Canis lupus familiaris: one gene and its partners. The protein of the gene in region 2 binds, or shares a complex with, the protein of the main gene of each other region. Links are inferred from orthologs where the notes say so. Each region holds a gene or a part of one and is shown on either strand. Other genes may lie near its edges.

Region 1 (3,655 bases), on a different chromosome or scaffold from region 2:
AATTGTAATCTGTTACCAACAGAAGGTTTATTAAATTATAAAGAGGATATATCATAGTTTTTGTTCTAAAAAGTAAGACGTCCTGTTTGCTTAGTACATACAGTTTTTAAGTCATTTAACATACTTTTATTTGTGTTTATTGAACTTTGTTACCTAGCATTTTCACATTTTATTTCCAAATAAATAGTACAGAAAAAATTAGATGCTTGAGATAGCCAAATCCAAATTATCCAAAAATATTTGGTCATCTAATCCGCTGGATAAAGCAGTTTCTTTGAAATGTTACTTTAACTATATTGCTGTGACTTGACAAGGTTTTCCTAACTTAATATAACCTTCTTTCTTTTATTTTCAAAACTACACATTCTGGTAGGACTTTCTCCCCTGTTTCCACTGAGAATTTCTTCTCTAGAACTTAAGAAACTGGGGGTAAAATCAAAGTACATTAAAAGGGAGGAAGCCATGCTCTGAAAACAATTAAGCTAATGACATTAAACAACTGGTTCTCAAAGTTGGAGCCATACACTAGTATCTGCAGCTTCACCTGGGGACTTGTTAGAAATGCATATTCTCACACTGCCCCTAGACCTAGTAACTCAGTCTTAGAGTTGGGGGCGGGGCAGGGGGCTGGTGGTGCTGACTGCTCACATGCCCTGCATGGGATTCTGTTGCAGGTGCATATTAGCAAGTGACACCCACCCACCCAATGGCCAGCAGTTGTGTCCTGTTTTGTTTCATTTCATTTTCTTCTTATGTGGTGATTGATTTGTTGGTTTCAGGTTATAATGCCCTTTTAAGATATGAAGGATTTGAAAATGACCCTGGGCTAGATTTCTGGTGCAATGTCTGTGGCTCTGACATCCATCCGGTTGGCTGGTGTGCAGCCAGTGGAAAACCTCTTGTCCCTCCTAGAAGTAAGTATAATTTAAATATGTGTACCTCAGTGCAGTGTCACACAGAATAATATTCAAGTGATATCAAAATTACAATATTTTTTGGTTTCATGTAACTTAAATACTGGCAAGACATATTTGTTCTGTTTTTGTTAGTCTTCTTCAGAACCTTAATGCTCTGAATTGCAGGGAAAATTGTTGTGGTTTTTTTTTTGAAAAAAATAGTTTATAAAGCAATTCTACTCTTTGCTAAAGTGTAACTGGTTATTTCTTTTGTTTTAGCTATTCAGCATAAGTATACAAACTGGAAAGCTTTTCTAGTGAAACGACTTACTGGTGCCAAAACACTTCCTCCCGATTTCTCACAGAAGGTAAAGACAGGATCTTAGAAAGGACTGAAGTGTCAATTGAGAGCTCTAAAAAAGGAATAGCCTGGAAGTTTTTTTAAGGAATTGTTTTAATTTAGTGAGCCAGATGATCTAGTTAAATGTCAAGTGCACTCATTATTTTTAATGGTACAGTACTGAAATTATTTGTAGACCTTTGTCATGAATTCCAAACAGTTTTTGTCTGTTTTTATTTAAGGTTTCAGAGAGTATGCAGTATCCTTTCAAACCTTGCATGAGAGTAGAAGTGGTTGACAAGAGGCATTTGTGTCGCACACGCGTGGCAGTGGTGGAAAGTGTAATTGGAGGAAGATTAAGACTAGTGTATGAAGAGAGTGAAGATAGAACAGATGACTTCTGGTGCCATATGCACAGCCCGTTAATCCATCATATTGGTTGGTCTCGAAGCATAGGCCATCGATTCAAAAGATCTGGTAAGCACTTGTCACAAGACCACCTGTTGAAAACATCATTGAAGCTAAATTGTACTACTTGGTTATTTTTTCTCTACAGAATAGTAGAGATCAGAAATAGCATTCTAGTTATCTGGGCTGCTCATTCTATCTTAATTTAGGGAAGGTTCACACCAGAATATGAGTGTCCTAATATATTTATATTCCTTCCACTTGTTCTCAATTCAAATATAATGTACTTTTCATCACAACTACATTGTCTTACACTTTTCCTGTTCAGCCCATTTGAAAGATCTAAAGGTAGCCATTCCCTTTGCATTCAGTTTTAATCAAAAGAGGAAGATTAAATGTGGTTAGACTTAATACTGAACACACGTAAAGAATACTTCTAAAGTTGTGATTCCCTAACTAGGGAATTACCAGCATTCTGATTGGCTGAATGTATTTAATAGCACATGTACTCAGAAGAAAGAAAGACTATAGAGGATATTTTTCACCATATATGTAGAAGGCATGTATTTCTGCCGTGTTTTAGAGTATACATACCTTGTGGGTTTGAAACCTTCAAAGAAACGTGGTTTTGGTCTTCTCACAAATGCTGACAGATTAGTATGTAACTTTTCCTTGTAGATATTACAAAGAAACAGGATGGACATTTTGATACACCACCACATTTATTTGCTAAGGTAAGAAGTTTTTATAAGAACCCTCATTTGTAAATTAGGTTTGAAAGAGGGTTGTGGGTTTTTTCCTAAAATAATGGAAATCACAATTATATTTGTTCACTTATAAAAGGATTAAGACCTTGTGATCCATAGGTGTCACAACTATTGATTATAATTACTCTTAAATTCTGTCTATTTGCCTGAATTCTCTATATTCTCTAACGGAGGTTTGAGTTATAATATTAGGTAGGTAGGAAAAGGCATTTTGGTATTTTCATCTGATAAACATTTTCAGTTTGGTAATATTTTAATTATTAAAATGATAACATTTGTAATGGTGGATGTGCTTTCATGTAATTCTTTAGGTAAAAGAAGTAGACCAGAGTGGGGAATGGTTCAAGGAAGGAATGAAATTGGAAGCTATAGACCCATTAAATCTTTCCACAATATGTGTCGCGACTATTAGAAAGGTAAGACTATAGGTTTTAAAATACAGAAATGCATTTGTAAGAACTGGTCTTAAGGTAATAGGAGGAAGAGGCCCTTAATATACTCATTTTGACATACAAGGTGTATGTATCTGGATCTTCACTAGGGAGAAGGATACTAGTAATTTCAAAATAAATTTCAATTTTCATACCAGTGTTTTTATGTGGCTTGTCAAGATTGTCATCTTGAGTCTGCTGCCTTTATTTATGGAAATACATATATCTTGAGTTAAGAGGAAGAATATTTAAGTTACTTTCTGCTCAAAGCTAATCCAACAGAGAATTATTTTTTTGTTTTGGGAGTTTTTTGTAAAGATTTTATTTATTAGAGAGAGAAAGAGTATGAGCAGAGGAGAGGGGCAGAGAGAGGAGAAGCAGACTCCTTGATGAACAGGGAGCCCAACATGGGGCTCATTCCCAGGACCCCAAGATCATGACCATAGCTGAAGGCAGACACTTACCGACAGAGGCACCCAGGTGCCCCCAACACAGAATTGTGACTAGGCCAAGTTTATCTTCAGTTTCCAGTTTATTTCCTTTTGTGCCTTTATTATTCTTTTGATAGTACTTTATTTCTTCTTTTTTTTCTTCTTCTCTTGTGAAGCTGCTTTTGTGAAAAAATCAAGAAGTGTGGTTTTCAATTTAAGTAGGCATCAGAATACCTTGGGAAACTTAAAGAAAAATACAGGTGACCAGACCTCTTAAATGCCTACCACGCGTGTTTTGATTTCATTAGTCTGCTAGGGAGCCCTAGCATTGGCCTTTTTTTTTTTTTTTTTTTTTCTTGTAAGTCCCCAGGTAATTCTCCAG
Region 2 (2,804 bases):
AGCACATCACATTGGTGTCCTTGCCCACATCCTATCTCCATGGAGGTCTGAGCTTCAAGGCTTGGATTCATTTTAAGTATCCGCCCACATATCAGGCTGAGGGCTTCCTGAGAATGTGACCCCATCTTGGCATCATTCTATTAATAAAATAACTCAAATGGATCATGACCTTATCAAGTCAAGCCACTGTGACTTCACCAAACAGCTAAGGCTCCCTCCTGTCTCTCAGGTCAGAACTTAACTATCCCAAGGGTTCAGTGAGTGGTGAGTTGAGTGGAGTGATGTAAGATGCTGGGAAGCAAAAGGGGGCCTTGCGGGTGGGGGACATAGAAGAGTTCACGGATGATGAGGGGCAGAGTCCCTTGTGGGCTTTAAGAGACTGACCTGCCTGAATCCAAGGAGCAGAGACCAAATCCACACAAATCAGTGCTTCCTTATTTTTGCTGAGTTAACATCACTTTAGCATTTTGAGCATCCACTATCTGCAAGGCTCAGGTTACAGCTGGGATAATGAAGCACTGGTCCTCACTCAGGAATTTGTATGGTGGCATATGAAGCACTGGTCCTCACTTAGGAATTTCTATGGTGGCACAGAACCAGGCAGATGAGCAACAGTGGCTCACCTGGTTTCTGCTGATGGCTCCCTGGATGGGAGCATATGAGTCAGATTTGTGAAAAGTTGGGTGGTGCTTAGAACCTCACCCAAGGAAGAGTGAGGAGCTGAAAACCTAGCCCAGACAAGCAGGGTAGTTGCCCTGAGAATGGAGAAAGCCTTGGGAGAGTCCCACCTTTATTTCTGGCCAGCTACCCTGGTGACAGCAGGGTTAACAATCATAGCAACCTAGCTTGTCTACAAGGGAGGCACAATGGCAGCACTGGCACTGAGCCTGGGCCCGCATGTACCCACCCCGGGGCCCCTGGCCGGGAGCAAAGGTACTACTCACTGAACTCGATCAGCAGCTTGCCGTAGCCCCGGCGCTGGTAGGGAGGCAGGGTCAGGATGCAGGCCACATTGTAGTCTTCTGTGGATTCCTTTTCCTGGAAAGGGGAGGAAGGTGAGTGAGGAGGGGACACAGCTCAGGGCAGGGCCAAGAGATGATCTGGATGAGCACTCACCTTGGAGAAGTAGCCGACGATGTGGAAGCCCTTGCAATCATACTCTGTCATGACATAGAAGAGGAAGGGATCTGTATCATAGTACAATGTCTTGTGGTCGAGGAAACACTTGGCCAAAAGACACAGGTTCTGGGAATAACTCTGCAAAGGAAAAGGCGTGTCACCACTCTGGGTACCCTGTCTTAAATGTGGTCATTTGGTTTCTTTACCCAGGGCTGATAGATGATGAGTCTTCCTCCCTGGCACCTGACCCGTTCTATTAGGCTGTCCCTCCTACTCAGGCAGAGCTAATTCTCAGAGTCAAGGAGCCCATGTACCAGCTCTGTGATAGTGTCTGACCTCCTGTCTTGCTGGTGAGCTGGGCAAGTTTACCCCTGTTCCCCATACCTCCCCCTAAGTCTTGTCTGGGGGGTTTCCACTGCTCTCTGCTGCAGTAACAAAAGTCAGTAGGTTGTGGCATGTCTAGAAAGACACTGCCAAGGCTTAGGAGAGGACCTCTACCCTGGTGACAGTCTTAGGAATCTACCTTTTAAAAACCACAAAACTAAAAAAATAAAAATAAAAAAAAATAAAAAATAAAAACCACAAAACTCTCCCGCCTCCAGTCACACATACTGGAGACTGATCTCCTAACCTACAATGGAGATCAGGTGTTCTGAAACTGAAAGTAACTGCCTTAGGGGTCTCCCCACCAAAAGGATTCATCTTGCTGCTTTGCTTTACCTCTATACACATTTTCTGCATATGAGGCATGACTTTTTAGCCAGATGCTGGGCCATCAGGATGCCCAAGTCCACACAGAACAGTAGTGAAAGCAGCCTCCTTCCCTTGAGCTTCCTCAGCACCCAGGCCAGAGCTCTACCCTGTAATTCAAGATGCCCTGCTTCTCCCTTACTGCCCCCTCTTTGCCCCAGGAATGGTCCCACAGTCTTAACGGTCCAGATTACTCCCTTCTTCCTTCCCACAGACTAAGGCAGGTTTGAAGCCCAAAACCTGCAGTGACCCCTACTCCTCCCCCAACTGGCCACCTTCTCCCCACCTGAGCTCTGTATCTTGGAACAGCCTTGCCTCATCCTCTCTGCTTCTCAGCCAGAATGATCTTTACCTTTCCCACCATCTGTACATCCACGACTGCCCTTCAGAACCCCACTCCTTGGGCTTCCCTTACCTATCTTATCCTTCATGTTAAGGATCAAAGATCATCTCCTATGTGAAACTGCTGGCTACCTCTGGGTCCTGATAACCCATCCTTTGTTTCATGACACTTATCCCTGGGATCTGAGTGGATGTTGGCAGATCTGTTTTTGCCATGAACTGTGAACTCAAAGATTCTAATTACTGGTCATCTTTATACCTCCCACTAACTACCTCACAGCAGAAACTCAATAAAAATGGAATGAGCTAATCTGTTGGCCAGACTGCCTAGTATTTTCCTGAGCAGGAAAAAGCTGCTCGTTTAACTTCCCCCAGACCACCAGTGCCAATGACTCCCCACTGCCCCTCAGCCACAGACCTTGTTCTTCCGTCCATCAATCTCAAAGAAAGAGATGGTACCCTTGCGGTAAATCTCATTGCCTGGGGGGTGTCGCAGGTCACACTTGGTCTGAGGAAGAGAGGAGGATCAGAGGCAGGGACAGGGTGGGGGATGGTAGTAAAGCAACCTCCTTGGACCCTTCATACCAAGTGAC
Region 3 (3,655 bases), on a different chromosome or scaffold from region 2:
ATTGTGTGTGATATTTGGGGTCCCAAAGAGAAAGACTCATCACTGAACAAGAGCTCCACGGGCTAGGTATCCTAGAATGTGTTCAATCTATGACCATTGTCCACTCCCGGTAACAACAGATCAGTACAACACTCCTTAAAAAAAAAAAAAAAAGTCTAATAACTCTTCAAGGTGAAACATTAGGTTGTGTAATTAAATTTCTGTATCTGTATTAATATTCTAAAAAGTGAACCATATGAAATCACTCTCTGCCTAATTTGTTACCAAAGCTCAGAATATAAAAGTTGGTCATTACTTCCTAATCAGGCAACCTTATCCTTTTTCCTTTTCTAGGCAGGAAAATCCAACTAGCTCTGAGTATAACTGTTTGCAATAACATATAGTAAATGAATTTGTGCTGAGGCAAAAAACTCAAGCTGTACTAAGATGTACCAAAACCAGAAAAATAGTTGGATGCCTAACAATTATTAGACATTCTACTAGAACAGATATAATCCAAAGAATTCAAAATGAAATGGCTGTGTAACCTCGTTTCTATTACTTTCTTCATACTACAAATGCAATACCCTTGCTTTGATAAATGTATTAGGTTAAAACCATGACACACAGGACACAAGCTACCTTGTTAGAAATAAAACATTGCTCTTAAAGATCTAATACTAATACTCACTTTTTATTCCAACCACTGTAATGTATAAAGTATTTCACTTGTTTGTCCTTTATGGCAACCTTTACACACTGAAATAAAAAAGAAAAAGTTCACTCAGAAATATGTTTTGAAAAAGACAACCATCACGTGTGCTTTTCAAGTATGCGATCTTTCAGAGACACTCCTTTCAGACTGATGGCCAAATCGAGCACAACAAAATGTGACTCTCACAGAGGCAGGAGTTCAAGCTCCGGGCTCCTCACATTCATCACCAGTCATAAAGATGCTCAGAGTCACCATCTGTTGGATCCAGTCTAGCAAAGCTGAAAACCCCCTAAGAGGTCACCCTGACGCTTAAATCAATGGGCTCAGCACTCCAAGAACGGCTAATTAAAGCCGTGTTTGCACTTTCTCAAAGTCTACCAACCAGAAGCCATTATGTATTTCAAAAACAAACTTAGCTAAAGAAAATTATTTATACCAAATTATTAAAAAGTGTCATTTACCTATGGAAGGCAATCAACTGTTTCTGCTGCAGAATATCAGCAACTAGCCAAGTGACAGATGAAAAACATTTTATGTTCTTAAAAGAAGCCAAATTAGAATGAATTATGAGGAAATCATTAACTATGACAAGCAATCACTACTCGTTCTGGATTAAGTCTATCCTGAGTAAACCAAGAGAACCATGATAGTTTAAGCCATCCCAACAGCCATTTAAAAATCATTCCCTGGAGTTTCTGCTGCCTGAGGGAAAAAATCTGCCAGGTTAGTGGAGGTGACACAACAAAGTAACATTCAGAGATATAAACGATTGATAGAATTCACAACTTACGGAGTGTTAGTATGACATCATTAAAACATAAAGTTACCAGATTCTCCATGAATCCATATTCAGCCATTTTAGAACTTTAAAAACACACATCTATGTATTTGAAACAACTGAGAAATCGTAAAAACAGTTATTATTTGGTCACATGGGCACTTCAAGATTAAGACCATTTTCAAACATATAAATACCAAAGATGCTGTAGAAATTGTATTTAACTAAATGCTTTATTATTTTATATACTGTTTTTAAAAATTATGTGTTAAAAACAGTCACAACATATTTGCATTGAAAGCAGAAACAATATACTTTTAGAAATCTGTTTTACTTGGGAACACATCATCTCATTTACCTCCGGCTAAATGTAAAATCAGTTCTGACTGCGGGACCACAGCACTGATACAGAGGAAAGGAAGCCCCTGGGGTTCAAACTCTGACAGACAAACCAGCAAGTTCAATGTTGTCACATTTTTTAATGTTCACGTTTATCTTTAACGCAGCCATGTTAGTTTAGAGCTCACTCAGCATCATTTACACCCAAAACTGACTGGCAGTATTTTCTCACAAGTCACTAAGTACACAATGCACTTGCTCCACAAACAACCAGGCTTTTACCTTTCCCCTCAAATACTCCCTCCAGCTGCTGGGCCATCAGCAGGTCACAAGGTAAAAGACAAGGTGGCAATACTGTACCTGACCCATTCGGACTCTATGGACTACCAATCTGAAAAAGGCAACTAACTCTCTTCCTACCAACCACTGAAATCTGATGCTCAAAAGTCATCTGACCAGTCATTTCAGCTAACTTCTCAAAGGAAAACAGATTTCATACCTTTGCTTCATAAAGAAGAGGCCCATGAAAGCACAGTACTCGCTCACCTGTAAGAGTAAAAAAAAAAAAAAAAAAAAAAAAAAGAAAAAAAATGCCAGGTTAATTTTAATTTCTCTTCATACCTAAGGGTCACGTGGGAGGGTCATCATGTGTTCCCATGTATTCCTTGAAACACTGGCAGAGTATGGCTATGTACAGATTAATACTTCAGGTCAAACTTCAATAGTACCTTACAACAAAAAAATCACCTTCATACACATTGTAAACAGAAAAAAAAATTGAGTAGAATGTCAATCTATGTAGATCATCAAATCATCTAACACCTTATAAACCAATAAAATCCACTGTATCAACCTTTTGGCAGGATTTGGATTTTTCAATATCTGAAGAACACAATTTTTTAAATATTTCCTGATTTTTTAAAATTAGTTGGGAGAGAGAGAACTCATGGGTATGGGCCACCAGAGGGGAGGGGCAAAGAGAGAATCCTCAAGCAGATTCCATGCTGAGCACAGAGCCTGATGCTGGGCTCCACAGCAGGACCCCGAGATCATGATCTGAGCCAAAATCAAGAGTGAGATGCTTAACCAACTGAGTCACCCAGGGGCCCCTAAAATATTTCCATATTTAGAACCCTATAATCTCCCTATTATCTTCTCCTTCCAAACCTTTTACTGGCCAACTAAAATAAGAATTCTAACTTTCGGAAATCATACTCTATGTCAAACCTACAGTTAAGACTTGCAAGAGTAACTAAATGTAAGGGATTAAGATGTGGAAGCCAACTTGGCTCATCAGACAATCAGGCAGTGAATTCCTGGCAGACCTGAAGATCACTTTCAATTACTATAGAAATGGATTTTCTTGCACGTTATTTTCAGTCCCCTTGGATTTCATCAGACCCAAAGATAACAAAAGTACTCCACCACAAACAGCTCTTTCAGCTCTAAAATCGTTAAAAATGACCTACTAGTTCAACATTTTTTTTAAAGATTTTGAGAGAGTAGCGCACATTGGAAGAGGAAGAGGGGAAGAGGAAGGAGACTCCCTGCTGAGCAAGGAGCCTGAGATCATGACTTGAGCCAAAGTCAGATGCTTAACCTACCCAGGCACCTCCAGCTCAACTCTTAAAACTATAGGGCAATAAGGTTTTCACCAATTTATTGTTTTTTTAAAGATTTTATTTATTTACTCCTGAGAGAGAGAGAGAGGCAGAGACATAGGCATAGGGGGAAGCAGGCTGCCTGCAGGTGAGCCCTATGAAAGGGAAGCAACCAGTACAAAAGCATAGAAACATGACAAGGAAACACTATTAGGCTACCTACCATTTAAGTATAAATAGTTC

The links. The genes of interacting proteins can lie anywhere in the genome.
Region 1: KAT5 (region 2) and MBTD1 share a complex: the UniProt entries of both Homo sapiens proteins name them as parts of the nuA4 histone acetyltransferase complex. The link is inferred for Canis lupus familiaris from reciprocal best matches to the Homo sapiens genes KAT5 and MBTD1.
Region 3: KAT5 (region 2) and MORF4L1 share a complex: the UniProt entries of both Homo sapiens proteins name them as parts of the nuA4 histone acetyltransferase complex. The link is inferred for Canis lupus familiaris from reciprocal best matches to the Homo sapiens genes KAT5 and MORF4L1.

What each region holds. Positions count from the first base shown.
Region 1 is NC_049230.1:26,979,880-26,983,534, reverse strand, and holds part of MBTD1 (MBT domain-containing protein 1), read left to right. Parts: intron 1-779; coding exon 780-914; intron 915-1,175; coding exon 1,176-1,264; intron 1,265-1,478; coding exon 1,479-1,713; intron 1,714-2,322; coding exon 2,323-2,378; intron 2,379-2,722; coding exon 2,723-2,827; intron 2,828-3,655. UniProt on the Homo sapiens protein: Chromatin reader component of the NuA4 histone acetyltransferase complex, a multiprotein complex involved in transcriptional activation of select genes principally by acetylation of nucleosomal histones H4 and H2A.
Region 2 is NC_049239.1:52,003,403-52,006,206, forward strand, and holds part of KAT5 (histone acetyltransferase KAT5), read right to left. Parts: coding exon 2,797-2,804; intron 2,720-2,796; coding exon 2,630-2,719; intron 1,258-2,629; coding exon 1,117-1,257; intron 1,039-1,116; coding exon 945-1,038; intron 170-944; exon of another isoform or gene 1-169. UniProt on the Homo sapiens protein: Catalytic subunit of the NuA4 histone acetyltransferase complex, a multiprotein complex involved in transcriptional activation of select genes principally by acetylation of nucleosomal histones H2A and H4.
Region 3 is NC_049224.1:58,633,673-58,637,327, forward strand, and holds part of MORF4L1 (mortality factor 4-like protein 1), read right to left. Parts: intron 2,358-3,655; coding exon 2,311-2,357; intron 739-2,310; coding exon 671-738; intron 1-670. UniProt on the Homo sapiens protein: Component of the NuA4 histone acetyltransferase (HAT) complex which is involved in transcriptional activation of select genes principally by acetylation of nucleosomal histones H4 and H2A.